4 linked regions of the Macaca fascicularis genome follow. The protein of the gene in region 4 binds, or shares a complex with, the protein of the main gene of each other region. Links are inferred from orthologs where the notes say so. Each region holds a gene or a part of one and is shown on either strand. Other genes may lie near its edges.

Region 1 (7,790 bases), on a different chromosome or scaffold from region 4:
GTGCCTGGGTACGGGGTCCTATAACGGGCCCGTTCTAGTACTGCCGTGAGGAAGGCCCCAGCACCAAGGGGCCCTGACGAGACAGTGCCTCACAGGACAGAGGCTTCACCTTGCTTTGTCCTGGTGACTGGAATTCCAGGTGGCCCTGACCCCAGAAGCCTTTGCTGGGAGTCCTGCCCTGGCTACCACCCTGATCCACAGGGTGGCCACCTTTCCAGGGGGTGTGAACTTGAAGGCCTCTCGCTGTGGAGGCCGGAAATGGCCTTCAACCCTGGTGGGGTGGCTCCCCCATGAAAGGAAGGGGCTGGGGAGGGAATCCTACATCCCACAGCCCCTTCCTGAGAAAAGCTGCCCAGGGGAGGTCGGTGCCAGCAGGAAGCCAGGCCCAAGCCCGCTTCCTGCACCGGCTTCCTGGAAAAGCCAGATAAGGGGGAAGAAGGGGCCATGTGGCCGCGGGGCGGCTGCTCGGAGAGGCAGGGGAGGAGGGCTGCGGGCGGCTGGGCGTGTGTCTGACTGGGTGCCACCAGCCACAGAGAAAACACAAGAGCCACCGATTGGCACACGGGTCCCATGCCCAGGTCGCCCTTTGCTGTGAAGAAGCCATGGGTTTTCCTCAGTAAGCCTGTTTTATTTCTCCAGTCCATAACAGGAACGGGACCCGGGACGTCCTCCTGGATCACTGGGGAAGGGGCAGAGGTCCGGCTAGCCCTTTAAGGCCCACCTCTCATTCTGCAGAGGAGGCGCCGGCGCCCACAGCAGAAGTGACCTGCCCAGGGAAATCCAGCAAGGCCCGGGCAGAGCTGCCCAGAGGCAGACGCCCTACTGTCAGCAGGTGGCCTGGAGACACACCTTCCATGCCAGTGACAGCCCCTCTCGGGTCACCACCTAATCCCAGTGACCAATAGCACAGCCTGGGAGGACCCATGGCCTCCTTGCCTGTCACCCGCAGTCTCATCCAAAAGCAGCAGAAAGAACATCTGAGAAACAAAGAGAGCTGGTGGGACAGCCACAGCGGCTCTCACCTGTAATCTTGGCACTTTGGGAGGCTGAGGCGGGCGATCACCTGAGGTCAGGAGTTCCAGACCAGCCTGGCCAACATGGCAAAACCCCGTCTCTACTAAAATACAAAAATTAGCTGGGCGTGGTGGCAGGCGCCTGTAATCCCTGCCACTCGGGAGGCTGAGGCAGGAGAATCGCTTGAAACCAGGAGGCAGAGGCTGCAGTGAGCAGGAGTTCAAGACCAGCCTGGCCAATATGGTAAAACTCCATCTCTACTAAAAATGCAAAAATTAGCCAAGCATGGTGGCGCACACCTGTAGTCCCAGCTACTCGGAAGGCTGAGGCAGAAGAATCGTTTGGACCCAGAAGGCAGAGGCTGCAGTGAGCTGAGATCGTGCCACTGCACTGCAGCCTGGGTGACAGTGACGTTTCATCTCAAAAAAAAAAACAAAAACCAAAAACCAAAAAACACCCAAATAGGGTTGGTGCAGACCTGCTCACAACACTCCCCAGGCCAGCTACAGAGCCAGGCCTGAGAGGCTCTGCCACACTGGCTGTCACACCCATTCCTGCCACCTGACCTTGACTTCTGCTATTGCCTCTGCCTGGGGTGACCTTCCCCAGACCTTCGCGTGGCTGCTGAAACGTCACCTCCTTTGGCCAGGCCCTCTTAATGGCCACTCTCTGCCTCATGGGTGTTTGTTTCCATCATAGGATGCAGCCAGTCTTTAATTACCTTGTTTATTACCTCTGTCCCTTGCTAGACTGGAACACTCAAAGTGGGTGTGGACTTTGTCCAGGGCCAAGCACAAGGCCAGGCACATAAGAGGTACTCGGTAAATATTTGTTGAATAAATACACAAAAGAAATGCACACACCACTCAGGGAGGCACGCAGGGAAGGCACAACACTCGCCCCACCCCACAGGTAAGGGAAGGAGTGGCCACCGGACAGGGAGTTGCCTGAGTCCCGGGTCCTCCAAGGCTGCAATGGCCTGGGGCTGTGACCATATATCTTGATTTCTCCTATATCCTCATCTCCAAACTCTGTTGGAGAAAGAGGTCAGAGGAAGGGGTGGATCCTCAAAATCTTAAAAGAAGATACATCAAAGTGCCAGGTGAGGCTTGGCACAGTGGCTTGCGCCTATAATCACAGCACTTTGGGAGGCTGAGGTGGGAGGATCACTTGAGCCCAGGAGTATGAGACCAGCTTGGGCAACACAGCAAGATTCTGTCTCTACAAAAAATGTAAGAATTAGACAGGTTTAGTGACGCATGTGGTCCCAGCTACTTGGGAGGCTCAGGTGGGAGGATCACTTGGGCCGGTGAGGTTGAGGCTGCAGTGATTGTGCCATTGCACTCCAGCCTGGACGACAGTGAGAGCTCAGTTCCAAAAAAGAAAAAAAAGTACAGAGTGCAGTGGCTCACACCTGTAATACCAGCACTTTGACACACCGAGGTGGGTGGATCACCTGAGGTCTGGGGTTCAAGACTAGCCTAGCCAACATGGTGAAACCCCATCTCTACTGAAAATACACAAATTATCCAGGCGTGGTGGCGCATGCCTGTGATCCCAAGCTACTTGGGAGGCTGAGGCAGGAAAATCACTCTCTCCGAGAGGTGGAGGTTTAGTGGGCTTTCTTGCAGCATCTGGAATCTGGTTCTCAGGTCTAGATCCACAAAGACCTAATCCAGTGCCTCCTAATTCAGGAAGCTGTCCAGGACTGCCCATCCCCGCTCCTAACCCAGGCCACTCCTTCTGGCCCTGCCCTGATCACAGGGAACTGGAAGTGTGTATCCCATGATGCCTTGTCCATTCTTGGCCACTCCTCCAGGAAATGGCTGGATAGCCAGGACTCTGGATGTTCAGAAGGTGGGAAGGGGCTGAATGAATGAGTTCACACTTTGCCCAGGCACCGTTCTACACACTGGGAATATAGTTGGAAGAAAAAAAAAGATTCTGCTTCCACAAAACTTAACACAGGGATGGATCCTTCCAGCTCTGCCCAGTCTTGCATGCCAACTCTGCCCTCTAAGTACATGGCAGAGGGACAGGCTCTCTGAATCCTTGCTCTTGAAACCGCCTTTGCAAAAATTGTAACTGAGGAAATTATGACAGCGAAAAGAGATCAGACCTAACCGACTCCATCGTGCTTCTAACCTTTAAGCTGTTCTTGTTTATTCCTGGGCATAGGCCGAACTAACCTTGGGAAGGGATTTAGTGTATAGTTTGAAACAAAATTGGTAATAGCCCTTTCCCGAAAAGACCCTTTTCTTGCCTGGGGACCAGTCTGCCTTTGTAGGACTAACAAATTAGCTGCACGATTAGAAATTATTGTTTACGGGTCATACAGCCTCTGGCTGCAAGAGTCTGAACCTCCCCAAATTGCTCCTAGGGATAACATCACTATTATAAAATCTAAGATCAGTGTTTGAGATATTTTGCAGACCCTGTACTTGGTGGATCAGCTGACACCACCCAGACCAGTAATTTGGCTCAACCAGTCCTGCAATCCCACCCAGGAACAGAAGACAGCAAGAAAATCTCACTTCAACCCCCGCCCCCGCCCCCCCGCCCCCCCCCCCCCCCCCCCCCCCCGCCAATGACTCCATCTCCAACCTCAGGAAGCTCCAACCAATCAGCACTCCCCACTTCCTGAGCTCCTACCCGCCAAATTATCTTTAAAAACTCGGATCCCCTAATGCTCAGGGGAGACTGATTTCAGCAGTAATAAAACTCCAGTCTCCTGCATAGCTGGCTCTGTGTGAAATACTCTTTCTGTATTGCAATTGCCCTGTCTTGATAAATGGGCTCTGTCTAGGAAGCAGGCAAGGTGAACCCGTTGGGTGGCTACACACTGACCAGCTGGATTTAGGGAGAGCTCTCTCACTAATCCACAGTTCTGATGCAGCCACCCCTGGGGGGCCCTCCTGGTTACTGAATCTCCCACTGTCTCACAGTCTGGAAGTCACATCCCCAACAAGGGCCTTGGTTTCTCTCATTGAAAAAAGAAGGGCCAGATGCTGATGAGCCAGGAAACTCCCAGCTCTGGATTCCTTTTCTGATCTGCACACTGGGAGACACGGGCACTTTCTAGCCCAGATCCAGAACTTACAGAATCATAAACAATGTGGCCCTGCAGAGACCTGGGCTGCAATTTTTCCTTCTGTGTACGGGGAGGATGTACTTTGCCCACCCCTAGCTCAAAACGCTCCCTTCCTCTGGAATGACATGCTTTGTGAACCAAGGAGAAACACCACACCCCAGCACCAGGCCTACTTTTCAGCCAGAAAACAAGAGGCCTAAGAGGCTCTGCTGCTAGCATTTTAAGCATCTTACAAGCTCTGAAATTCCTAAAACTAAGTTTCACAACTCAGACTGGCCCCCTACTTCCCAGCATTCTAGGTTTCAATCTGGGAGGTCAGACTGGGTCCGAAGCGTAAGGGACCCCCTTCCCTGCCCAAAAACTCTCTGTTGCATTTGGCAGATCCCCACTTTTTTAACCTCAGTTTCCCAACCTGCAAAATGGGAAAACTAAGTAAGGCGAGGCCACTGTACTGTGGATACGAGTACGTGCAACCCTAAATCCCAGACACGAACGTGGTAGAACCACCTGCAGTCTCCAGCATCAGTTTCCCGGCCTTGTGCCGGGGGACGGGACTCAAGGCTCGGACCGTACGTTCGCCCCGCGCCAACCCAGCCCTCAGCGCCCGCCCGCAGGGCTCCTAACGACTGCGGTTCCCGCCTCCCGGTGAGACCCCGCCGTTGCTCTGCCCTCACCATGGTGCCGGCGGGGACCGGGCTCGCCGGCCACTTCCGCCGCCGCCGCTGCACACGCTCCCGGCGGTCTTCGCCACGCCGCGCCGCGCGCCACTGGGCTGAAAGAAAGTGGCAGAGACGCGAGCCAGTCAGCACCGGGCTAGAAGGCCGGTTAACCAATCCACGCGGAGTAGGGCGGGGCCCGCTAGGCGAAAGGGGCGGGCCGGGCCGTGTTCCCGCCAGAGGAACGAGGAAGAGAGCCGTAAAGTGCCGCGGCTTGTAATACAAAAGGGGGCGGAGCAACGCGCGCCGGGGCGGGGTGCATTGTGGGTAAACGCGTGCGCAGGTGAAACCTTCGTCGGTCTTCTGGGCTCCACGCTGTGGGCAAAGCCAGTAACTTCCTTTGCAGTTGAGGGAGAGAAATCCAGGCTTCGTGGTGATTGGGACGTCCCTGGTGTCGCCCTTCGGACTCCTAGTTTTCTGATTCTGTAATTATCCAGGGAACATCATTTAGTAGGTTGGAATCCTGACCACGACCCTCGGGGCCTCAGTTTTCTCCCTGTAAATAGTAGTGTCTGCTCCAAAACGTTACTTACTATGAGGATGAAATGAATGAAACCGTGTAAAAGCACTTAAAACAGCGTCTGGCATATATTAAGTACTTAATACCTATTCTGTGCCTGCTTCTGCTCATAGAAATGAACAGTACACAAAATTCGTGGCCCTTAGGGAGACAGACAGTAAACAAAGTAAATAGGCGAATGCTATTAGTTCCCTGGGGCCTGCTGTAACAAATGCCCACACACTGGGAGGCTTAAAACAACAGAACGTGATTTTCTCATAATTCAGGAGACCAGAATAATAAAATGAGGTTGTCAGTAGGGTTGGCTCCCTCTGGAGGCTCTGAGGACAATCTGCGTGTCCTATGCTTCTCTCCTGGGTTCTGGTGGCTGCTGGGAAACCTCGGAGTTCTTGGCTTGTAGATGCAGCCTTCCGCCTTCTGCCTCTGTCGTCACTTGGCCTTCTCTGTGTGTCTCTGAGTCTCAAACGACTCTCTCCTTTTTTTTTTCTTTTTTTGTAGAGACAGGGTCTCCCTATGTTGTCCAGGCTGGTCTCGAACTCTTGGGGTCAAGCAATCCTCCCTCCTCTGCCTCCCAAAGTGCTGGGATTACAGGCGTGAGCCACCGAGCCCAGCCTCTCCGTTTTCTTATAAGGACACGCCTTTCTCTTATTAAGCCCACCATAAATTCAGGATAATGTCATCGCAAGATCCTTAATTACATCTGCAAAGACCCTATTTTTTTTTTTTTTTTTTTTGAAATGGAGTCTCATTCTATCACCCAGACTACAGTGCAGTGGTGGGATCTCAGCTCACTGCAATCCCTCCGTCCTGGGTTTAAGGGATTCTCCTGCCTCAGCCACCAGAGTGGCTAGGATTACAGGCACACGCCACAATGCCCAGCTAATTTTTGTATTTTTAGTAGAGACGGGGTTTCACCATGTTGGCCAGGCTGGCCTCGAACTCCTGACCTCAGGTGATCTACCCACCTCAGCCTCTCAAAGAGCTGGGATTACAGGCGTGACTCACTGTGCCCAGCCTCATTTTTCAATGACCGATGCTATTTATTGACATTATACATAATATCAAAAGACTGAAAGAAACCCAATGCGACCACATGATGGAGTAATACAGCTATAAAAAGGAATGAAGTTCCTATAAAAAGGAATGAAGACAGTCTTCATATACTGACATTGAATGGTGTCTGGATATATTAAGTGGAAAAAAACCAAGGTAGAGAACAGTTTTTACAATATGTCATCTTTTGTGTGCACAAAGAGAAATACATGCATGTGTATGTGTTTATATATTTGCATATATTTTATATATATATATATATATTTTTTTTTTTGAGACAGAGTCTCGCTCTGTTGCCCAGGCTGGAGTTCAGTGGCCAGATCCCAGCTCACTGCAAGCTCTGCCTCCTGGGTTTATGGCATTCTCCTGCCTCAGCCTCCCGAGTAGCTGGGACTACAGACGCCCGCCACCTCGCCCGGCTAGTTTTTTGTATTTTTTAGTAGAGACGGGGTTTCACCGTGTTAGCCGGATGGTCTCCATCTCCTGACCTCGTGATCCACCTGTCTTGGCCTCCCAAAGTGCTAGGATTACAGGCTTGAGCCATCGCGGCCGGCTTATATATATATATTTTTTACCACACCAAGCACATGAACAAAATTTGCATATATATATATATATATATATTTTTTTTTTTTGAGACGGAGTTTTGCTCTTTTTGCCCAGGCTAGAGTGCAGTGGTGTGATCTTGGCTCACCGCAACTTCCACCTCCTGGGTTCAAGCGATTCTCCTGCGTCAGCCTCCCGAGTAGCTGGGATTACAGGCATGCACCACCACGCCCAGCTAATTTTGTATTTTTAGTAGAGACGGGGTTTCTCCATGTTGGTCAGGCTGGTCTTGAACTCCTGACCTCAGGTGATCCGCCCACTTTGGCCTCCCAAAGTGCTGTGATTACAGGCATGAGCCACTGCGCCCGGCCAATTTGCTTATATTTTTAAATAAGAAACGTAAAGGCCAGGCGCGGCAGCTCACGCCTGTAATTGCAGCACTTTAGGACGCCAAGGTGGGCGGATCACCTGAGGTCAGGAGTTTGAGACCAGCCTGGCCAACATGGTGAAACCCCATCTCTACCAAAAATACAAAAAAATTGGCTGGGCATGGTGGTGGGCACCTGTAATCCCAGGAGAATTGCTTGACTCCCCCCCTCCCCGGGAAATAGAGGTTGCAGTGAGCCGAGATCGTGCCACAGCACTCCAGCCTGGGCAACAGGGCGAGACTCTAAAAAAAAAGAAACATGAAAAGAACAAGCCAGGACAGGCGCGGTGGCCTATGCCTGTAATCCCAGCACTTTGAGAGGCTGAGGTTGCTGGACCTCTTGAGCCCAGGAGTTTGAGACCAACCTGGGAAATACAGCAGCAAAACTCTGAATCTACAAAAAATGCAAACAAGTTGCTGAGT
Region 2 (7,695 bases), on a different chromosome or scaffold from region 4:
CAGCACTTTGGGAGGCTGAAGCAGGGGGATGGCGTGAGCCCAGGAGTTTGAGACCAGCCTGGGCAACACAGTGAGACCTCAGCTTATCTCTTTTTTTTGGAGACGGAGTCTTACTCTGTTTCTCAGGCTGGAGTGCAGTTGCACCATCTCGGCTCACTGCAGCTTCCGCCTCCCGGGTTCAAGCGATTCTCCTGCCTCAGCCTCCCGAGCAGCTGGGATTACAGGTGTGAGCCACCGTGCCCGGCCCCTTGCGACACCAGTTTAACAAAAACTGAAATAATACAACATTTAAAAAGCCTGTCCTCTAACTGTGCTGCGAGCATTGTAAGTGCCCTGTCAGTATGTAGAGACCAGTGGGGAAGCTTCCCCGTCTCTCCAGGCCCCACAACAATGGAGTTTCCAGCTTTGTGAGGACGTCCAGGACCAGTGAGCGCTCAGCCCGTCCATCGGCCAACACAAGGCTTCACGTTGGTGCCTCAGAGTGAGGTTTTGTGGGTTTCAGAGAGGAAGAGGCAGCAGGCAGCCCCATGGCCGCCTCCCTTGCCCTGCTGCCCCCTCACCCCACTGCCCTCCTCATCCCGCTGCCCGCCTCAGCCACCGCCCCACTCACCTCGCATGTACTCAATGGTGCCGTCCAGCACAAGGTTGAGGAGTGGGTCGAAGCCCTTCAGGATTCCACTGGCTTGGAGAAATCACCGGGGGAGAGAAATGAGAAGGCATGAGATCCATCTTGGGTACAGGGCCTGCCCCAGCGTGGCCCAGGCATGGGGCTCACTGCTTCAGGGATGGAGGACTGAGGGTGGGGGAGGGCTCCCGGGAGGGGCTGGTGACAGGCGCCTCCAGAGTGACCCCCACCATGGGCAGCCGACTGTGTCTGCAGGGGGCTAGAGGACAAACACTTCTGGCCGTGTGGGCCACAGGGTGCCGGTCACAGCTGCTGGCTCGGGCTGCCTGGGTGGAAGCAGCTTCGGTGATGAGTCCACGTGTGGCTGAACCGTGGCCAGTCAGCTCGACACACAGGCACTGAAACGGGAATTTCGTATCATTTCCACATCGTGAGACAGTCTTCTTTTGATCCCTTTCCAGATATTTAAAAGTCATAAAAACAATTCTCGGCTCCAAAACAGTAGCAAAACAGGCCGCGGCACATGCATGCGGTGGAACCACCAGCCGGGAAGAGGAGCGAGGCTGGCGCAGGCTGCGGTGCGGATGTGCCTGAGGACGCGCCTGAGGGCGCCACGCTCGGTGAGAGACGCCAGCCACAGAAGGCCGCGCAGCGTGTAATCCCGTTTCTATGAAAGGTCCAGGACAGGCCAATCCACAGAGACAGGGAGGGGATGTGTGGGTGCCGGGGAGGCGACAGGCAGTGACAGCTGATGGGGACAGGGCTTCCTCTAGGGGAGACGGAGTGCTCTGCTGGGACAGCGGTGGTGACTGCGCTGCCTGACCTGTGCTAGGTCCCTCAGTGAGTTCACGGAATACAGAAGAACAAATCCCAGCCCTGCAGCTCAGGGCTTGCGGGGAGCGGGCAAGAGAGATGCTCTGAGACCCGGGTGCAAAGGCTTTGGGGGCTGAGGCGGTTGCTGTGGCTTCTCTCTCCACGCTGCCTGCCCCACCCCCCAAGCCTCGCCGCCTTAGGTCACAACTTGGCACCTTGGGTTAGGGCTCTCTGACCCGGTGGTGACCTCTGCCATCTGATCCTGCTCCGCAGTGTCTGGTGACACTGAGAAGGATGAAGGGGGAGCTGTGTGTCCTCAGCAGAGGCCAGCCCACCCTCCCTGTCCGGGACTCCCGTCCTCTCCCCCCAGGCTCCTCCAGCCCAGGCCCAGGAGCGGTTCCGCCTCTGCGCTCACTGAGGGGCGTCCCTCAGCCACCCGCTCCCTACCCTCCTTCTTACCCCTGTCATCTTTCAGGTGCTTCCTCCAGACACCAACCCACACCCCTTAGGGTGCTGCCCTCTGCATGCCCCCCACCAATCTCAGGAAGCAGGCACCCCAGGCATTATTCTGCCCGCCTATCTTCTCCCAAGGCAGGGCTGTGAGCCTGTCCATGGCCGTTCTGCGCTGCGAACTACGACCAGAGGCGAAAGTGGCCCACCGCTCATCTCTGTATGCCAAAGTTTCACTGGCCCACCAGCACACTCGCCCGCTCAGGCACTGACCAGGGCGGCTCTCCTGCTCTGCGGGCATAGCTCACTGGTTGTGACAAGAGACCATCTGGGCTGCAAAGCTGAAGATATTTGCTGTCTGGCCTTCTACAGAGAAGGTCTGCCCACCTGCATACAGGCTTTAGCTCCTACCTCCACGGCTCCCTCTCTCTGCGCTCAAGTCCCTCCCCTGCAAAATGAAACCTGTCACCTATGAGATGGGGTCAGACGCAACGGTTCAGGTCCTTGGCACCAGCCTGACCAGTGAGCCAGCCCTCCTCACAGGGACAGATGTGAGCACTGAGGTAGGTAGGTCTCTAACCAAGGTTCCCCTCCCCGGGGTGTGGGCTCGGGCCTGTGACTCTGAGGGGACATGACGTCACTCCTGCACTTAGGTTATGCAGCTGTTTAAGCCCCTGAACCAGCTGACTTTGAGCCAATCTAGAGGGAAACACCCTGGGTGAGCCTGACCATATCAGGTGAGTCCTTCAGGGAGCAAACCCTTTCTCTGCTGTGTGTGTGCGTGTGTGTGATTTATTTATTTTTAGACGGAGTCTCGCTCTGTCTCCCAGACTGGAGTGCAGTGGCGCGATCTCAGCTCACTGCAACCTCTGCCTCCTGGGTTCAAGAGATTCTCCTGCCTCAGCCTCCTGAGTTGTTGGGATTACAGGTGTGCACCACCACGCCCAGCTAATTTTTTTGTATTTTTCGTAGAGATGGGGTTTCACGAAACCCCATGTTGGTCAGGCTGGTCTCGATCTCCTGATCATATGATCCGCCTGCCTCAGCCTCCCAAAGTGCTGGGGTTACAGGCGTGAGTCCCTGCGTCCCGCCAAGAGCTGCAGCATGCATCACCAGCCCACTGCCCATGCGAATGCTTCCTGCCCTCTGAGAGCTCGCCCTGTCTTCACTAGATTCCATGGAAGAGTTGCAGGCAGAGGCAAGCATCAGGTTAACATGCACGAAACCGCAAACGGTGACAGGTGCTACCAGGATCCTAGAACGATGGGGGGCCTGACGCCAGGGTCAGGGAGGGCTTCCCAGAGCAAGCACCTGTGGAACTTGTGCTTCTGCCGCCCTTTGCAGTCATAATCAGAAGTATGGATTCGGATTTTACTCCAAAACAACCGGGAGCCTCAGAGGTTTTCAGCAGGGAGCAAGAAGCCTCCATTTCTTTTTCATTAGGTGCCTCTGGCCGCTGAGTGGAGACTGACCTTAGTAGCTGTGATTCCCAATCACAGCTTGGGGGTCGGGGGGCGATCCTATCCCCAGAGAACACTAAGCAATGTCTGAGGCTATTTAGGTTGTCACAACTTGGTGGAGGCCAGGGATGCTGCTCAGCACCCTGCAGTGCCCCAGGACGGCCCCACTCCAGAGAATCCGGCCCCAAATGTGTCCACACTGCTGTGCGGGAAAGACCTTGACTTAGAGGGAGGAAGAGGAGAAGCCGGGAGATCTGTGGGGATCTGGGGCAGTCCTTGGACACACAGGACTGCTCTGGAGGCCAAGCCGGAAATCCCAATACCGGCTGCGCCACTGTGACTTTGGATTACGTTTGTTTCCCGCTCCTTGCCCCAGTTTCCCCGCCTGCAACATGGCCATACCAGTTCCTACCTCCCGGCGTAATTCGGAAGCCTGCACAAGGTAGTCGGCGTCAAGCGTGTAAAGAGGCGCCTCTGCGGCGGCTCACGCCTGTCATCCCAGCACTTTGGGAGGCCGAGACGGGCGAATCACTTGAGGTCAGAAGCTTGAGACCAGCCTGGCCAACATGGTGAAACCCCGTCTCTACTAGAAATACAAAAATTAGCCAGGAGTGGTGGCGCCTGTAGCCCCAGCCACGCAGGAGGCTGAGGCAGGAGAATCGCTTGAACCCGGGAGGCGGAGGTTGCAGTGAGCTGAGATCGCACCACTTGCACTCCAGACTGGGCGACGGAGCGAGACTGCGTCTCAAAATAAATACATAAATAAAAATAAATAAAAGAGGCGCCTCTGCATGCATCCTCATCACCTCTGTTGCTGACTTTATTTTAAAATTTTAAAGGGGGGGTGCCAACGGCGGGAGCCGCCTCACCTTCGCGTCCTCCCTGAAACTTCACCCGGATCGTCTTGTCGATGTACTTGGACAAGTCCAAGATGCTCTCCTTTTTCTTCTTCTCCTTATCCTGCGGGGAAAGCAGAGCGCATGAGGCCTGGAGCGCGGCCCGAGCCCCACGCCCCCCGGCTCCGGATTCTGCCGCGCGCTCACCGCCATCTTGTCGCGCCGTGAGGCTCTTCGCAGACACCGCCCCGTGCCCTGTGACCTCTCCCCTCCCCCCCACGCGCATGCGCGGCGCATGCGTGGCCCGGGGTCTCGGGGCGTTGCTGGGAAACATCTGCCGACGGTTGCGGCGGGCACCGGCCGAGATGGCGGCGGTGGCGGCGGCTGCGCTGGCGCGGCTTGTGGCGGCCTTTCTGCTCCTCGCGGCCCAGGTGAGCGCGGCACCGGTCCCGACGGCACCGCAGGCTGCGGCCCTTCGGCCTCTCGGCCCCGAGGCTACGCGCAGGAACGACCCCTCTTGGCCCGTCTTGGGGGTCCAGCCTCGGGGATCCGCGGTCCCCTCGTTGTCGGCCGGCGGTGCCGGGGCCCGGCCGTGACCTTGCGGGGCTGTCCCCGGCTTCTCTCCCTTCCCCGCCTCGGAGGCCCTCCGCCGCTGCAGCGCCCCTCACTTCCCACCGGGCCTGAAGTTTGTGCCCCCTCCATCTCCCTGTTCTGCTTGTCCGTTTCGGGGTCTCCAGCCGCCGCGGGGGACGCCTCTCTCCCGCTCTGTGGCCTTGGGCAGGCGGCCGCCCACCCCGCTCCGAGCCTCAGTTTCCCTTTAGGCGGAATGGCCCGGTGCTAAGCTAACCTCACCCTAGGGGGTGCGGTGGGGGAACCCAGAGGCGTCCCGCGTGTCCCCCAGTGACTGGCCAGCATCCTGGAGCGGCCAAGAGCCCAGCCCTGCACTGGGGTCGTATTCCCGCTCCATCTTTTACTCCGTGACCTTGGACGAGGGAATTCCCTGCTTTGAGCGTCAGTTGCTCGTCTGGAGAAGGGGGGTCGACTATGGTGTGGATTCTGGAGATGCTACCCAGGGTGACCAGCGCCTAGGGACAGCACGCCTTCCTTATATTCATTGTGTATCCTTTGATGTAGAGTGTCAGGTTCTAGCGGGGACAGTCTACGAGATGGCACTGTCGTAACTGCATCTTTTATTTTCTTAATTCCAAATCTTACCTCTTACCTGAGTTTGGTGGCTCAGGGAATGGAACCCGGAGCAGCCTCACAAATGCGGCCCTTAACCTTCACTCCTCTCTCAGAGTTCTCTTAAGGCGTCGCTGCCACTGGGCTCCTTCTTAGTCTCCACTCTTCCAGCCCCACCGCCATCCCCCTGCTGTGGCTGCCTTTGTCCCCCACATCCCTAGTCCATCCTCGACACAGCAGGAGTGACCCTTTCAAAGTATGTCAGTCCATGTCGCATCTGGATGAACGTGCCGTCCAGTTGTGACCTGGCGCCAGGGAAGCCTGCAGCTCATTGCAGGAGCTTCGTTGTCTAGTCTTTTCTCTTACCCTGAAATGCCCGTGGTCTCTGCAAGGCTGGAGGGCCCCCTCAGAAGCTTTCTGCGAACCGCACCTCCACCCCCAGCTGCCCTGTCAGCCCCCTGGACTCCCCCTATTCTGAGGCCAGGGACCTAGAGACCCCAGACATTTGGAAGGAGGAGGAAAGCCAAAGGTGGAAGAAAGATAGAAAGATCACAGAACGCTGTGGAGGGAGGGACTCAGTTTGCCTGGGAAGGCTTTTCTGAAGCAGGAGTGTTTTTTTTGTTTGTTTGTTTGTTTTTTTGAGACGGAGTCTTGCTCTGTCTCCCAGGCTGGAGTGCGGTGGCATGATCTCAGCTCACTGCAACCTCTACCTCCCGGTTCAAGCAATTCTCCCACCTCAGTCTCTCGAATAGCTGGGATTACAGGTGCACGCCACCACACCTGGCTATTTTTTTTTTTTTTTTTAAGTAGAGATGAGGTTTAACCACATTGGTCAGGCTGGTCTCAAACTTCTGACCTCAGGTGATCCACCTACCTCGGCCTCCCAAAGTATAGGGATGACAGGCGTGAGCCACCATGCCCAGCCCTGAAGCAGGTGTTCTGAGCCATGAGTAGGAGTTTGCCGGGTCGGCAGGAGGGGAAGGGTGTTGGAAGCACCAGAAGCAGCATGAGCGGGGGCTGGGAGGTGTGAGAGCTAGCGGGTTATTTGGGGTTGGCAAGGGGTGGGCTGTGGCTGGAGTCTAGGGTGGAACAATGCTGGAAGGGAGGATTTACATCCTGAAAGATGTCACCACCAAGGAGGTCCTGGGGGGTGGGCCGTGGATGGACGCTGGAGCAGGGGCACAGAGGAGGGGGGAGTGGTGCGAGTGGCCCCAGGCAGAGAGTGAAGGCAGAGCATTTGGCCTCTTAGGCTGGATGACAGGCCGCCTGGTGGAAAGCAGGTTGTGGAAGGCTCTCTGTGCTGGGGTGCATGGACTTTAACCTGGGGGGGCTGAGGAGTGTGAGCTTTATCTGGAAGGTGGGGAGTCAAAGGACGTGTCAGAGGGACGTGAGAGAGCAGGTGCTCCTGGCCTTCCCAGAACCCCGGTTGTAAATACACCCTGAGAGGCCTGTCCCTGTTGGGGGGTGGTGCTTCGCGGCAGTGGAAATTTGAGTCCGATTGCCCAGAATGAGACTAGCTCTCTGGGCAGAAGCCTGCTTGGTGACAGTCCTCCACTCGCTTGCTACCATTCTGTGACCCCGAGCAAGGAAGTGACCTCCCCAGTGAGACACCTCCCCTCCCCCACCCCATAGAGCCCATTCCTCAGCAGATCTCAGCTGGAGCTGGTGGCCCTGGCTGGACCCGGCCTGGCTCGTGGAACTCCTGAGTTCCCAGAAGGGAGGCTCTCCCGGCTTGGACTCACTGGCCTGTTTCAAAGGCCCTTGACATGGATGCTTTCACAGTCACTTCAAAGCAGGGTTTCTAAGCCTAGAAGTTTCTAAACAAGTGTGCAGTGGCGAAGCATCTGTGCTGCGATTTGTGAAGGATTTGGAGGTCAAGGCCTGGGCTTTGAGCCTGTCCTTGTAGCCCGAGCTTTTTCTGCTCCTCCAAATTTCGGTGGGCCTGACTAAAACTCAGGGCCCTCAGAGCTGTGGCCGTTGGACTAATTGTTCCCAGTTTCTTTTTTTTTTTTTTTTTTTTTTTGAGAAGGAGTCTCGCTCTGTCGCCCAGGCTGGAGTGCAGTGGCCGGATCTCAGCTCACTGCAAGCTCCGCCTCCTGGGTTTATGCCATTCTCCTGCCTCAGCCTCCCAAGTAGCTGGGACTACAGGCGCCTGCCACCTCGCCCGGCTAGTTTTTTATATTTTTTAGTAGAGACGGGGTTTCACCGTGTTAGCCAGGATGGTCTCGATCTCCTGACCTCGTGATCCGCCCATCTCGGCCTCCCAAAGTGCTGGGATTACAGGCTTGAGCCACCGCACCCGGCCAAGTTCCCAGTTTCTTTAACTCAG
Region 3 (7,774 bases), on a different chromosome or scaffold from region 4:
TATTTACAAAAGAAATGAATGCAAGATTCTATTAATTACATATGGACAATACAATAGGGTATTTTGGGTAAAACCTCTTCTCCATAAAGTAAGGCAGTATCATTTATAATTTTAACAGATATATTTTACTTACACGTTGTCACCTCTTACAATGTACAATCCTAGTACCACTTGCTCTACCCCCTGTGAAGAGCTGAATACTCGCTCATGGCTTTCATCCAAAATCAAATTAATGGTCTGGTCAAAACCTTTCAGTGTTCCCTGTAAAGAAAATATTCAGGAGAAAAAGAGAAATATTCTGGTTTACCTGAAAGTGTAAATTCAGCCTCACAATCATTTCAGTTGCCAAGTATTCCAATACAAGTAACAATACAATGTCAAATAAAATACCTTTTTTATAACCAACAGTATTCGAGGGTACACAATTTACCTCTTGGTTGTTTGGCTGGGGTGGGGGTCCTGCACCACACATCTCACTCATATGCAGAGTTGACGGCAGTTAGAAACGACAACTATGTACTAATTTGAGTATCTCCAAAAAGTAACTAGCATAAAAGCTTACGAAGACCAGCAGCTAAAGGTATAAACTAAAACAAAGGAGATTTAAGGGAAACTGATGGGCAAATATACATAAATAAGGAAGAACCATACATACCAACTACAGCAATGTAATGTATCACTATATGCTACATACCAGCACTAAGCAGTGTGCTAAACACATCGTACACATTGTCTCAACTCATCTCTACCCTTTAATACTATAATTAGCCCCATTTCAAAGAAGAAACTGAGGCACAGAGTGGTGTGTCTTATGGGCACATGGGTAGTAAGTGGCAGAGCCAGGAGATGAACCACAAAAGGCTAGCTCCTGAGTCAGACCACTAAACCGTAACATTCTATACTATCATACACAAGTAAATATAATTTGCCATTTTTCAGAGATTCAAATCAGTCCCATAAATATTTTAAAAATTTAGTAGTTACATATAACACCTAACGAGTACTTTAGTTACCGGTGCTCCGTCTGTCTCACATGTATTGTTTAATGTGTATCAAATGGATGTATTATTGAACTCTCCCAGTAAGGTAGATACAAATGTGACTATACTAATTAGAACCAGAACTTGAAGGAAATAATCAGGGAGAGTTTTATGAAAGTTTAGAATTGAATAAAAGAAGGCATGGGTCTAGCATAACAGAGTAACTCAGATGGTATTCAAGTTTCTGAAGAATTATCAACTAACATTGGTTTTGATGGTTAAATCTCTCAAGCTCTTAAACTGTTTTATCCTCTGAAAGTCAAAATATATAAAATGAGAATTAAATAAAAAGAAATCTATAACTTGGAAGAGAAACAAAATATGGAGTATTTATTGAACTAGTTAGCAAATGGTTATTATTATAAACACCCATTCATAACTTATTGGCTTCATTTTGCCCATTAACTATCCCATCAAATAAATTATGTGTCAAAGAAATACAGAACTATTGAACTTTAGAACTTAAGATGCTCTTTTTATATCGCTTTCCTTCTTCTTTAAAATTAAAAATAATTTCCCAGTTTATTATCCTGTTAACAAAAATAAGAAAATTTAAACGTAAGGTTTTCACTAAATAAAAAATAATGCAAACATCTATTAATAGCAATAGGCTTCTTGAAGTGTTGAGGTTAAAATATGTCAAACTGTCCACATTTGAAAAAATACAATGTGAGGTGCCTAAGAAAACATGATTGCTTCCTTAAGAAAGAAGCCAGGCAACTGGCCTTGGCTTTGATGTCAAACCAAATTTAAATCCCAGTTTGGTTCTGTCACCTGCTACCCTTGTGACTCTGAGAAAGTGAGTCACCTTCTCTGAACTTGTTTCCTAATCTAGAATACAGGGGTACTTATTCTTCACAAGGTTGTATGTACATTAATTAATGTAACACATATGCACCTGGCACACGATATAAATTTAGTAAATGGCAAAGCTAGAACTTTGACTAACAATAGTCACTAAGAACAAACGAAAGCAAAACTGCAGAATGGAAAAATAAGGGATCAAATTATTTAAAGAAACTAGGTAGGGTTAGAAAAGTTTAGTAGCCTTAAAATTCTTTTGAAAGCATTTGGAGTAGGAATTATAAGTGAAGAAATAATCAAGTGCCCAAAAATCTTGAGATGAATTCCTCAGATCAAATTCCAAATACAAGTATCACCATAGGAACGTTTTATCTTTGTTATATGACATAAATTAGCAAGGGAGAAACAACTTCAAGGAACAAGCCAATTTTACGTAAATATGTGTATATAGAGAGAGTCAATCATCATAATGTGTCCTACAGAAGACATGTCACACAACCTAAAAACAAAGAATGTTAAGATTGTATACAAGCCTTAAATGTTGATATGTAGATATTAATAGTATCTAAATCATTAAAAAGTTACTAAGCATATGCAAAATTTCAAAAAATTCTGATTCATGTGGTGCCGAATGAGGAAGGAAATAAAAATGGAAGAAGAAAAGTAAGTTTAATGAAGGTCTGCAGACTAGGAGCTCTCTGAGGGCAGAATCTATAACTCTAGCTCCTAGAAGCCTTGTAGGTAACACGCCACGTTTATGAGTGAGGAAAACGTGGATTGACAGCAAAGTGATAAAGAGCTGAATTATAATAAAACTGCACTACAGGTGTAATGTGCTGTCTAGGCATTAGAGATCAGAGGTTTCACATAAAACTTGCAACCAATAAACCTACAGGAAAGCAGAGAATGAAAATTCCGAAGACTTACCACAATCATCCTCCCATCAGATGTAATAACGGCAACAGTTCCTGATAACTGAATAAAGGAAAGTGTTTCTTAGGGAATGCAAATTGAAAACAGACTCTGGCAAGGTAATGATTTAAATTATTAGAACAAATATGACAATTAGGTAAAAGTGTTCAACACAGCCACTAAGTTCACTACATAAAAACGTTGAAAGATTTTGGGACGCCAAGGCAGGAGGATCACTTGAGGTGAGACTAGCTTGGGAAACACAGTGAGACCCCCCCCATCTCTACTACCCTGGCCTGGTGACCTATAGTCCCAGCTACTCAGGAGACAGAGGCAGAGGCAGGAGGATAGCTTGAGCTCAGGAGTTCAAGGTTGCATTGAGCCATGATCAAGCCACTGCACTCCAGCCTGGGCAACACAGTGAGACCCTCGACTCAAAAAAAGAAAGAAAAAAAATTTTTTAAAAGCTTGTTTTAGTTTTGTGATAATTACATGACTAAAAAAAGGAAAAAATAGAAAAGAAAACCTCTTTCTGTATGTGATCGGTGTATCCTATCTCAAAATATCCTGGATTTTTGACACTTTTCTACTAGGAATGCTGCCAATCTATTATTTCGGACAGGATATTTCGTTTCTTGGGCCTGTTTATATCTAAAATGAAAACTGGATGAGTACTAAATTCATCGATGTTGGACGATTTTCAAGCATGTTAAAAAACTGTCTTCCGGGGCAGGCTTCTGTAATTCAAAAGTAAATAAACTATATAATCAGTGTCACAAGGTACTAACAATGCCTGTAACATTAAAAGCATTCGGTATTTAATTTTTGTCACCCAGTTTGTACCTGAACTTAACATAGTGTTTTTGTTCTGAGACTTTAAAACGGTAACACTTGTAAAGTCTATTTTAAGACTTCCCGTGGGGTTGTTACTTGCTCCTCACTATAATCCATTACAACAGCAAGCATTTTTTTCATTCCACCACCAGGTAGGGTCTTCAAGTGGTAAAGGGACAGAAACAGTCTGTGAACCATCGTTAAACTTTCTGCTATCCTCGAACTAATGAGCATATTATGTGAATAAAACAAGTACACAGATTTGCAAAACTGTTGTCGCAGCCAGGACGACTGTTAATCTTATTTACAAACTTGAACACTTATGCCCTAGGGAAATAGTAAGGAAGAATCAAGAGCGTAATTTTTTTTAAGACAGAAAAGTTCGGAAAAATCACACTGGGTTTTTATTTGGCTTTTGTAGACAAAATGGAAAGGACCCCTGGGCCCGCAGCAGCTGGCAGGCTCTAGGCGCCGCCGCCGAACTCTGGGTCATTCCGGGGTCCTCATCTCGCCCGCCCCCAGGATCCCGCCGCGGCCGGGCCTCCCAACTTCCCACCGATCCCCGAGCGGCGGTCTCTCCGCGGCCCCGGCTCACGCCCGCGGCGGCCAGCTTGAGGATACGGTTGATGTAGTTCTCCAAGGCGGACGTCATGCTGCTCGGACCGGCAGTTCCGGATAACGCAGTGGTGCCGGCCACAAGCAGAACTGAAAGGGCGCGCCAGAACTCGGCAGCGGTTCGCGTCTGCGGGCCGCCGCAAATATCGTGAGAGTTGCTGCTCCGCAGCCCTTTGACTCGGAAATTGGGACGAACTAGCCAACCAAACAGAAGCAGCGCCGCTCTGACGAGAGAGTGCGCGTGCGCAGTGTGTTTTCGCTGTAATTCTGGGCCGTGTTCCGGAAGCCGTGTAAGACAAAGGGAACGAGAGGCGGAAAAAAGGAGGACGCTTCCCGAAGGTGGGGTACGAGAGAGAAGTTGGGGGAGAGTGGGTTTCCAATCCGAGTAAAACCCAGTGTGGTGGAAGATAATAAGTGAAAATGTTGAGGTAGAGCAGGCAGGAAGAAACAGGATAAGGCGTTTTTTATTAGGAGTGAAGGAGGAGAGTAGACGAGCGCTGTTGTGTGAAATGCGGGTGCGGGTAGTTGAATCCCTAGTTTTCTGCAGCAGGAGCCGAAAATAACACTAAAAATAAGTCCAGTTGGCCGGGACAAAGTTGCGCACGTTATAACCACACGGTGTAAGCGTCTTAAGAACTCAACAATGAAATGCACGTTCGTATGTTCTGCTTTTGTCTCTAAAAGTGGTCCAAAATGGAGGTGTTTTTACTTTTTAAAGAAACTAAATGCAAATAGAAAAAGGTGTGTGACCATCCCTTAGAAAACGAATGTTCACGCTTCTACCACGCCGGGATGGTCTGCCGGAATTCTCCAGGGTGAAATTAATAAATAAAAGGCTCCTTCAGCACCAAGAAAGGACTGATGCAGGAAGGCACCAAACTTGGTTCTAATCTTGGCTCTGCTAACGTATTGGTGTCATTGCACAGGTCACTTCAATTCTTCTGGGCCTCAGTTTCCTTATAGTGCCATAGGTATCATTTCAGATATTTCCCAATGTGATACTGTTCCCACTTTATTTACTGTGTTGCCCTAACTTGAGAGAGCTTGAAGTTAGAAAGAGATTTATACACAAAACATCAGCAGGAGCGATTTCCCTTTTTTACAAAATATCTTTATGATTTAGGTTAAACATGTATTTTCTTAAGAATTGTGGCTTTGGAATAACTCTTGCAATGTCAGCAGTTTTCCTGGGAAAAGGAAGCATTTCTTAATTAGAGCATACCCACAAGATACCTACAAGATGACTCCCAAATAGTTAAAATTTTATATTCTGGAAGTTATTCCGATCTGTTTGAAATCAAATGTAGTCAGGAATTAGATTGTGAATGTCTCATATTCTCAGGGTAACAAATGAAAGTGTCTTCCACAAATGAAAGAACAAAGATAATTGTGTGATTTGCAAATGTTAGGAGTTGAATCAAAACCCAAAGACTAATTAATGATTAACGAGGTGTTAAGAGTTTTGTTTAAAACAAAAAAATTGCTGGGAGTGTTGGTGTATGCCTGTAATCCCAGCTACTCTGGAAGCTGAGGCAGGAGAATCGCTTGAACCCGGGAGGCGGTGGTTACAGTGAGCTGAGATCACGCCATTGCACTCCAGCCTGGGCGACAAGAGCGAAACTCCATCTCAAAAACATAAAAACTAACCTCTGTGTGATCTTATAAAAATAAAGCTGGGTACAGTGACTCACACCTGTAATCCCAGCACTTTGGGAGGCCGAGGCGGGCGGATCACTTGGTCAAGAGATCAACACCATCTTGGCCAACATGGTGAAACCCCGTCTCTACTAAAATACAAAAATAAGCCGGCGTGGTGGCGGGTGCCTGTAGTCGCAGCTACTAGGGAGGCTGAGGCAGGAGAACCACTAGAACCTGGGAGGCGAAGGTTGCGGTGAGCGGAGATCGTGCCACTGCCCTCCAGCCTGGGCGACAGAGCGATGCTCCATCTCAATAAAATAAAAAATAAAAGTAAAAAAATAAATACTCCCAACAGCTTTTCATCACTTAGAGTGTGCTTTTGTTTTGAAAATGTTTAACATTATATGGTAGCTTACGAAACTACTTTCATCATAAATACATTGTAAGTCTATGGCCTTGTGTAGTTATTAAAGTAATATGCCAGATAAATAACAGATGTACAGTATTTATGGAGCATCACAAAATCTCTTTGGCTGGAAACTTTTTTGCATGTGTCTTAAAACTGCTATGTTTTCTGTAGTCTGTAAGGATCACAGATGTAACGAGAAAGCCTCTGGATAGATAAAAGTCCAGTTATTAAGACAAAAAATGAATTACATCTGGATGCAAACATTACATGTATGATTTATCTGTATTAGCCATGTACCCTTGAGAGTATGTGAATGTAGAGAGCTTAGCATCTCATAAAGGAGAATTACGTTAAAGCTCCAACAAGGGAAAACTGATACATATAAACATCTGACTACTAAAAAATTAAGAGTTAAGGGTGAAACTTGCCCCTTAAGTCCAAATCTCTCAAAGTAATGCGTATTTAAATGACATATCACTGATAAAGTATCAACCAAAGTATGCTTGTAATAGATAATTTTATTCCATTACTTCTGAATCTAACTCTTGAGCAGAAAACATTAACCTAAAGGATCAGACTTCTGGTAGAATCTGAGGAAACTGAATTTGCCCTTCTCTGAATAGTTTATGGAAAACTATACAATTTTTTAAATAAAATTTTTAAAATAAAATAATATTTTTAACCTTATGTGATGGGAACTTTTATTTCCTTTTCTGTGTTTATGCTTTACTTCCCTGCAAGTTGCAAGGGTGTTAACCAAACAGTAATATATATTGAATAGATCTAACCAGAGTTCTCCTAGGCAGAAAAGGACATAAGTAGATCGTGCGTCTCTACTTACAAGGAAATTCCTGAATAGTTACAGACCTTTAAGTATAAAAGTGAAATAATTATTGCATTAAAAAATGAATATTCCAAATTACAAATAAAGGTTATTAATAGTCTCCATTTAACACTATGCATTACAAAGTGCTCTACTTATGTTTTTCATTTAGGGTAATAAAGACAGGTAGATTTAACTCCATTACTTTAGGGATGGAAAAAATCAAATATAGGTGATTCGGTAATTGAGAAGGAGTTTAGGATCATTATTAAGAACACTGACTCAAGAACTGCCTGAATTTTTATTTGTGTGACTTTGAGCATACTTAACTTTCTGTGCCTGTTTCCCCATCTGTAAAATGGGGAAAACTACACAAAACTACATGTAATTGTTGAGGAACTAAAAGTAATACTTGAAGAGCCTGATATATAATAAGTACACACTATTCAAGGACATAGGGTATACCATAAAGAACCTTTTTTTTTTTTTTTTTCTTTTTTTTTTTTTTTTAAGTCCCAAAGCTTATTCCAATACGGTGTTTTGTTCACTGCCGTTTTTTATGATTGGACAGATGCAGCTGTGCACATTTTAAGTGCTTAAGGAAGGGAAAGATGGATATGAGTTTGAATCTTAGAAGGTTTTACAAAAAAGGTAAGACTTAAATCAGTGCCTGAGAAGAAGTGCAAATACACTAAATAC
Region 4 (7,955 bases):
GAAGAACTAGCTAGTGAGAGACAGGAAAATCAAGAGGATTTGGTCTTAGGAGAGTGAAGGAAAGGGAGTATTCCAAGGAGGGAGTGGCTGGCAGTATACTAGGGCTATTCTTAGTAAAAGTGGGTTGGTGACCTTAATAAGGAGCAATTTTAATGTGGCAGGGGTCGGTCAGTTTGCAGCAGGTTGAAGAGTAAATAAGGGTAAGGACCTCAAGAGAGTAATAGAGAAAACCCTTCCAACAAGCTGGATGATGAAGGGGAGATGAGACAGTGGATAGAGACCAGAAGGGCTCTTCATAATTGTGTATGACTAGACCACAACTAAAAGACTTTGCAACCTGTAAATCATAAGAGGGCATTACCCGAGGACCGTACCCCTCTTCAATAAAATCCAAAAAACATTTATCATTGTTTTAGGTTACTGACATAGAATGCATTTGATGTCTAAATTTTCAAAGCCCCAAAACAAATGTTTATCCAATTCAAAACTTGCACTGGGGAGGGGAGGCAAGGGAGCATGTTAGCACCCTCTTCCCAGTCTATAAAGAAAAACTGGCCAGGCGTGGAGGCTCACGCTTGTAATCCCAGCACTTTGGAAGGCTAAGGTGGGTGAATCATTTGAGGTTAGGAGTTCAAGACCAGCCTGGCCAGCATGGTGAAACCCTGTCTCTACTAAAAATACAAAAATTAGCTGGGCATGGTGGCGGGTGCCTGTAATCCCAGCCACTTGGGAGGCTGAGGCAGGAAAATTGCTTGAACCTGGGAGGTGGAGGCTGCAGTGTGCCAAGATCATGACACTGCACTCCAGCCTGGGTGACAGAGCAAGACTCTACCTCAAAAAAAAAAAAAAAAAAAAAAAAAAGAAAAAAAAATTAATAGTAGAATAAAAATTGGCCTAAGATAGATGATAGGCTAACTCATATAAACACAGTAAGATATTGGTAACATGATAACATGATTTGAGACATTCTATTCAAGTTCAACTAAAACATCAACCAAAATTTGGAGTAGAACCCTGTGATTATAATAAAGAAAAAAAGTAAATGTTTAGAAAGGTGACCTTTCTCTTCTTTCAGCAGGACCCTCTCCAAAAAGTGTGATGGGTTCCCCCAAGGCTCTAAGGCAAGCCTTGACCTCTGAGTCATCTGTGGAAACATTGATCTGCCGGGCTCGCTTCCTTCTCTCAAACTCAGCCAATACTTCTGCCTGTCGCTCACTGATATGCTCTTCAATTTCAAACACTTCTCCTGTCAAAAAGAAAACAGGCAACATCAGCAGATCTTCTTCAAATGGAGAGAAATAAATAATTGCAGTCTGTGTATGCCCTGAGAGAAAGGTAATGTCTAATATATTACACATTTTATAGTTTACTGTTTTTCAGTTTATTAAATTATGCCAAACACATAAACCTAAATGACACAACTTCAAAAGGCAGGAAAATGGTTCAAGCCACCTCTGGTTTCATTTATTAACTTTATACCTCTACATAACTTTACAAAGCTATTTATTCTCTAAAGGAGTCCCAGTATAGGGATACTTAACAAATAATTAACTAGTAAACTGCAAATAATTACCATGAAAATGAGAGTTCCACAACTATAAGGATTTCTGGAAAATCTAGCAATAGTTTTGAAACCCACACCAAAATACAAGTGTGATAAAAAATGAGAGGTACAGTGGTGACATTATGTTTAAAAACAGTATAAAAACTTTAAAAAGTCACTAGGCTACAGCACATGTGTTTAGAAAATGTGTGGGAGGATCAATGAGAAACCTGACAGATGTCCCTACTGCAGAAGAGTCTTCAGTTTTTTGAGACGGAGTCTCGCTCTGTCGCCCAGGCTGGAGTGCAGTGGCGCCATCTCAGCTCACTGCAAGCTCCGCCTCCCGGGTTCACACCATTCTCCTGTCTCAGCCTCCCGAATAGCTGGGACTACAGGAGCCCGCCACCACAACTGGCTAATTTTTTTGTATTTTTAGTAGAGACGGGGTTTCACCATGTTAGCCAGGATGGTTTCCATCTCCTGACGTCGTGATCCACCCACCTCAGTCTCCCAAAGTGCTGGGATTACAGGCGTGAGCCATCACACCCAGCCAGAGGAGTCTTCATTTTATGCCCTCTGGTATTGTCTGAATTTCTTATGACAAATATGCGTAATTTTATTTTAAAAATAGAGTGGACCTCTCATTACTGACATGGAAAGATATCCTCAATGGTATATAAAATGAAAAATGGGGGTTATACAACAATTTACGTATCATGTTTTCACTTATGGAAAAAATGACGTATTTTTATAGCTGTATTAAAATTCTAAGATATACAATCAATTAATTAAAAAATACTGGATTTTCTACTTCACACATTCATACACTGTTTGATCTTTTAAAAGAAAAATAACTATTACCTTTTTTTTTTGAGACAGGGTCTCTCTCTGTTGTCCAGGCTGGAGTGCAGTGGTACAATCATGACTCACTGCAGCCTTGAACTCCCACCTCAGAACCCCAATTAGCTGGGAATACAGGCACGCGTCACCATGCCCGGCTAATTTTCTACTTTTTGTAGAGATGGGGTATCACTATTTGCCCAGGCTGGTCTCGAATTCCTGGGCTCAAGCCGGACTCCCACTTCGCAGCCTCCCAAAGTGCTGGGATTACAGGTTTCAGCCACCAGGCTTGGCCACTATTACTTTTATAATAAAACAAGATATCTCAGCCAGGTGCAGTGGCTCACGCCCGTAATCCCAGCACTTTGGGAGGCCGAAGTGGGCAGATCATTTGAGGTCAGGAGTTGGAGACCAGCCTGCGCAACATGGTGAAACCCCGTCTCTACTAAAAATACAACAATTAGCTGGGTGTGGTAGCCGGCACCTGTAATCTCAGCTAATCGTGAAGCTGAGGCAGGAGAATCACTTGAACACAAAAGGCAGAGGTTGCAGTGAGCCACGGTTATGCCACTGCATTCCAGCCTGGGCAAGAGAGTGAGACCCTGTGTCAAAAAAAAAAAAAAAAAAAAAAAAAAAGATATTTCCCTTTGGGTAAAAAATAATTGGAAAACTTCAAAAGGGAGATTATCACGAACCACTCTAGCTGCAAACCAATGCCAGAACTATGTTAGATCTCCAGAAGACAAATGGAATCAATCTGAATCCAAATGTACACTGAATTTTTGATAAGACTGCTCACTCATAGAAGCAAAACTATGTAACACATTGTAAGAAAAAGGCTCTCTGCATGATTTTAAGGGGGTAGGCAAAATACAGCCTTATAGATGCAAGTTTAAGAATTGAAATTCTGCCAGGCGCAGTGGCTCACGCTTGTAATCCCAGCACTTTGGGAGGACGAGGGGGAGGGATCACAAGGTCAGGAGTTTGACCAACATGATGAAACCCCGTCTCTACTAAAAATACAAAAATTAGTTGGGCTTGTTGGTGTGCGCCTGTTATCCCGGCTACTCCGGAGGCTGAAGGAGAACTGCCTGAACCCGGGAGGCGGGGGTTGCAGTGAGCAGACATCGCGCCACTGCACTCCAGCCTGGTGACAGAGCGAGACTCCGTCTAAAACAAAAGAACTTAAATTTTTTGACATTATAAAACTGATGATATTCAAGTTTAGGAAAGTATTCATTACACAAAGAGGTAAAGATGGGTTCACAATTTGCATCTTACCAGAGGTTATATTAATATTTCCAGCTTCGATCCCTGCTTTAAGTCCTTCTTTCCCCAAAATCCCAGACTCTCCTTTGGCCAGACGCTCCCTCTCCTTCTCTTCCAAACTTCCATAATAGATGTGTGGTTTCTTCACAACCGGAGCAACTAAGTCATCGGGTGTTTTAGTTTTGGTTGCCTGCCAAATCAAAAATCTGGATTAAATTGAGGTTTAATCTTGGCAATTTACCGGATTTCCCGAGGATGAAGCTCGCCCTGAGTTTCACAGTCCTATTTCCTTCATAATTGAAAGGACAAATTGGACACTACTTAAGATGTTCTTCATCGATTTGAGGTGAAGGGGAGGGTGTTTCAGTCCCTCACTTTAGCTGACGGGATTGATAAAACTAGTGAGGTTCTCTCGAGTATTTTCATATGAAAGGTTTGCTCTGGAATCTGTTTACTTTATTCTGCTGGAAACGTGGAATCTCGTGTTTTACGATGTATCCAAGATTACTGCTCATCACTGGGGAAATACTAAGGATAGATGAAATAACCAACGCGGTGCTAAAGGATAACAAGTTACAACATTACGAGTGTATACATTTCAAACGTTTCTAGACGTGAGGTAGAAGTTAGTAGGTCTCATTAAAATTTTGAGATCTGCCAAACGCATAAACCTTGGCCAAGACACTTCCCTATTTCAGAGCACCGTTACTGGATGAGTCGGAAGAGATGTTTGCCCTTTGGGGCTGTAGTGGGAGAGGTGCAAATAAGCTACAGTCCACGAAAGCGCTTAGGGGTCAGGAAAACGGTGGTCCGCTGTGTAGAACACCACTGAGTCCCGCAGCCTTCCTCCTCAGCCCTCCACCGCCTTCTCTCGCTCCCTAACGGCCCCTTCCCGCAGAGATCCTCTTCCCCCTTCGCGCTCCCTGCCAGAGTGAGTTGCGATCCCGGGCTCTGTACCGTGGAGGAGGTTCGCGAGGAAGCCATGCTGGGCTCTGGAGCCGCGAGGCCCCAGCGAAATCCAAGCTCTCCGTTTCAGACCTTCCACCGCGCGCCCAGCAGAGCGGAAGTGCGTCACTGACCGGAAGTGTGTCGCAAACAGGACATGGGCCAAGAGCCGTCGCTGCGCCCGGAGCGGCGCGGAGCATGATGGAAGTCGTAGTAGGAAATGGCGTCGTGGCATTGAGGGGCATCCCTCCTAGAACCTCCAAGAAAAGCTCGCGGAAGACGAGGTTCTGCTGAGAGAGAGGCTCCAAGCCGTCTGGGAAGTGTAGTCCAGTTGGCGTAGCAGTAGTTTCGTGGAGGGGAGCCGAGGTTCCGGGAAGGGGCTGAGCCGACTTGAAAAGAGGTAGGTAAGTCGACTCGCGCGGCTCGGGGCTGAACTCTGGAGCGAGTCGAGGGCTTCCGGGGCCCGCTGTGCCTCCCCGGGCCTACGGGGGCGTTTACGTCTTCTGGGAGCCGAGGACCGTGTTACCATAGAAACCCTGGGATCCGAGGTACAGGCCTGGAGCTAGGGGACGAGGACTGTTCTCTTCCATGGTCCGGAAGTCTTCCCAGGGGCCACCTATGAGCTTGATGGCTCGGCGGTGGATTTGGGCTGCAGCGAGAGATTAAGCTAGAAGAGCCCGCTGGTGCCAAAGTCAAATAAAGACCCGGCGGAGGAGCTTCGGCCTGATTTTGTTCATTTGTCTTCAGCCTGGTCTTTGTATCAGATTGAGAGTAAGATGATGGTTAGGAGGGTGTCAGGGAACTGTACGTCTCTCTGCCCTGCTGGATGCTGGGGTATTAGAGACGAACAGCATAAGGTTTTTATCCCCACGTGGACGGTGGGAGATCCTCAAAATATTGACGTTTCCGTAGCTGGCCAGATCCTCATCCAACCCCCTAGAAAAATTACAGCCATAATAGGTGTTATTTATTGAACATTTATTAAATGCCAAGTAATGTTCCAAGAGCTTACTCTGCATTACGTTATTCACTTCCTACAACAGCAAAGTAGGATACAGATGAGGAAACTAAGGCCTAGTTAGAAATGAAACTAATTGTTCAAGATCAGTGGCGCAGTGGGATTAGAACCTGTGCCCTTTAACCTCTACAGCCAGCACTTTTAACTGCTACTCTATACTGCTCCGTAGTGGCCAGTTTTTCGCAGTTTGCAGAAAAGGTAAAATGTATAGTAGACCTTTTTTTTCCTTTTAGGTATCCCTATCCCTCTCTTTCCCTCTTTGGAACTTTGGCTTTCTCTACCATTTGTCTGCATTGGAATCTGGTAGAAGATAATGCCTGATTTAGTACAAAGCAATTTGAAATGTAATGTGCCAGTGTTTTGTGTTGATAATATCGCCTGTAATATCCTAAGCTTCATGGGAGAAGGAAATATTTCTTCCTTTGTATACTTCACAGTCCCTAGTTTCATCCTAGATACATGTAATAATTTGTATCTCTATATACTTTCAAGGAGTTTTCACTTCCATCATTCTCACTTAATCCTTATCATGTTGACCTGTATAATTTTTATAGGAGGCTAAAATTATTAACCAAACTGAACAGCTTGCTTCGATGACTTCTTTATGTGTGAAATAGGAATCATTTTGTCAACTTCACAGGTTTTTGTGTTAAGAATGTAAAGAATGGGAATGGAAAAAGAGCACAGTGCTCAAGAATGATCTCACCTTTTATTCAACAAACATTTACTGACTGTTTTTATAGATACACTCTAGGGGATGCTGTGGAGAATATACAAATGATGCCATCAACAGATATTAAACTCAATTGGGGGAGTTGTGTTTTCTCAAAAACAAAACAAAACAAAACAAAATGGTTTTTGTTAACACAGTATTACCTCGGGATTTCAGGCTGTGGAATGCTCTTTTGAACCTCTTTTCTTCTTCTTTTTTTTTTTTTTCTGAGTTGGGGTCTTATGGTGAGATCATGGCTCACTGTGGCCACCTCAAACTCCTGGGCTCAAGTGATCCTTCCATCTCAGCCTCCTGAGTAGCTAGGACTACAGGTACACACTACCAGCCTAGCTAATTTTTTTACTTTTTTGTAGAGACAGGGTCTTGCTATGTTGCCAAAGCTGGTCTTGAGCCTCCTTGTGCACTCTTCTCTCTGCCTGCCCTTCAGAAGTCAACTAAGATATCATTTTCTCCAGGAAGGCTTGCCTGACATCCTTGTCCACCCCACACTCAGCCCAGACTGGATTAGGTGCCTGTGTGATGCCAGTGCCAGTATCCTCATTAGGGTTCTCGTTATATGATATCATAGTTTTCTTTATTTTCCCCACAGATTATGACTGTACCTTTTAATTCTGTAGCTGGAGCACAAGAAGTGTTTGTTTAATGAATGACGTACACACATTTAGGATCTGTTTGGACGCTGAGGATAATCCTGTGAATTGGTGAGTTGGAGTCTTCATGAGATTTAGCAAACTGATTTTAGCATTCAGGAGTGATCACAAATCTCTGACAGTTCTCACGTAGAGTAGATTAAATTCACTGGTTTGTCCACTTTCTCCTCTAACTATACTGAGATGTGATAGTTTATTCTTTTAGCTAGAGTATTTCTTTGAATGTGACTAGAACATGAGATTAAAGTGATAGTTTGCTATTTTAAATTCTTACTGAAAGAGTTTTTGATTTTACAGAGCTGTAGATCTCCATAATGTAATAAAAATGTAATAATCATATACCTAAAGACTTTAGAAGTTGGCTGGGTATAGTAGCTCTTGCCTATAATGCCAGTACTTTGGGAAAATGAGGAGGGAGGAACACTTGAGCCCAAGAGTTTGAGACCAGCCTGGGCATCAGAGAGAGATCCCATTTCTACAAAAAACACAAAAATTAGCCAGATATGGTGGTGTACACCTGTAGTCCCAGCTACTCTAGAGGCTGAGGCAGTAAGATTGCTTGAGCCCAGGAAGTTGAGGCTGTAGTGAGCTAAGGTCATGCTACTGTGCTCCAGCCTGGGCAAAGAGCAAGATCCCATCTCTTAAAAAGACTTTAGAAGTCTGTGTGAATTCAAATAAAGTTTTAATACTTCCATTCACTTTAGTACACAGGCTTGCAAACTGATTTTATGTTTTGTATCTGAGACTTTATTACCTTCAGTTTTTCCTCCTCTCTTTCATTTTTATCAGCTAATAGTTCACTGGGTTTGGCCCTTAGTGTTGACTTCAGTATGCTGAGACGAAAACCAACACGCCTAGAGCTAAAGCTTGATGACATTGAAGAGTTTGAGAGCATTCGAAAGGACCTGGAGGTATGAATACAACTTTGTGTTTTTTTGAGATGGAGTCTCGCTGTGT

Evidence for each region.
Region 1: PRPF4 (region 4) and LSM4 share a complex: the UniProt entries of both Homo sapiens proteins name them as parts of the precatalytic spliceosome. The link is inferred for Macaca fascicularis from reciprocal best matches to the Homo sapiens genes PRPF4 and LSM4.
Region 2: PRPF4 (region 4) and LSM7 share a complex: the UniProt entries of both Homo sapiens proteins name them as parts of the precatalytic spliceosome. The link is inferred for Macaca fascicularis from reciprocal best matches to the Homo sapiens genes PRPF4 and LSM7.
Region 3: PRPF4 (region 4) and LSM8 share a complex: the UniProt entries of both Homo sapiens proteins name them as parts of the precatalytic spliceosome. The link is inferred for Macaca fascicularis from reciprocal best matches to the Homo sapiens genes PRPF4 and LSM8.

The regions. Positions count from the first base shown.
Region 1 is NC_088393.1:18,685,719-18,693,508, forward strand, and holds the start of LSM4 (U6 snRNA-associated Sm-like protein LSm4), read right to left. Parts: upstream 4,842-7,790; 5' UTR 4,783-4,841; coding exon 4,780-4,782; intron 1-4,779. UniProt on the Homo sapiens protein: Plays a role in pre-mRNA splicing as component of the U4/U6-U5 tri-snRNP complex that is involved in spliceosome assembly, and as component of the precatalytic spliceosome (spliceosome B complex).
Region 2 is NC_088393.1:2,986,511-2,994,205, forward strand, and holds the start of LSM7 (U6 snRNA-associated Sm-like protein LSm7), read right to left. Parts: upstream 4,430-7,695; 5' UTR 4,398-4,429; coding exon 4,392-4,397; intron 4,309-4,391; coding exon 4,218-4,308; intron 683-4,217; coding exon 611-682; intron 1-610. Other genes in the region: SPPL2B (signal peptide peptidase-like 2B), read left to right, coding at 4,550-4,615. UniProt on the Homo sapiens protein: Plays a role in pre-mRNA splicing as component of the U4/U6-U5 tri-snRNP complex that is involved in spliceosome assembly, and as component of the precatalytic spliceosome (spliceosome B complex).
Region 3 is NC_088377.1:159,618,694-159,626,467, reverse strand, and holds the start of LSM8 (LSM8 homolog, U6 small nuclear RNA associated), read right to left. Parts: upstream 4,354-7,774; 5' UTR 4,243-4,353; coding exon 4,212-4,242; intron 2,813-4,211; coding exon 2,772-2,812; intron 262-2,771; coding exon 134-261; intron 1-133. UniProt on the Homo sapiens protein: Plays a role in pre-mRNA splicing as component of the U4/U6-U5 tri-snRNP complex that is involved in spliceosome assembly, and as component of the precatalytic spliceosome (spliceosome B complex).
Region 4 is NC_088389.1:44,820,858-44,828,812, forward strand, and holds the start of PRPF4 (U4/U6 small nuclear ribonucleoprotein Prp4), read right to left. Parts: upstream 4,723-7,955; 5' UTR 4,637-4,722; coding exon 4,610-4,636; intron 3,843-4,609; coding exon 3,665-3,842; intron 1,247-3,664; coding exon 1,060-1,246; intron 1-1,059. Other genes in the region: anaphase-promoting complex subunit CDC26, read left to right, coding at 6,991-7,049, 7,816-7,909. UniProt on the Homo sapiens protein: Plays a role in pre-mRNA splicing as component of the U4/U6-U5 tri-snRNP complex that is involved in spliceosome assembly, and as component of the precatalytic spliceosome (spliceosome B complex).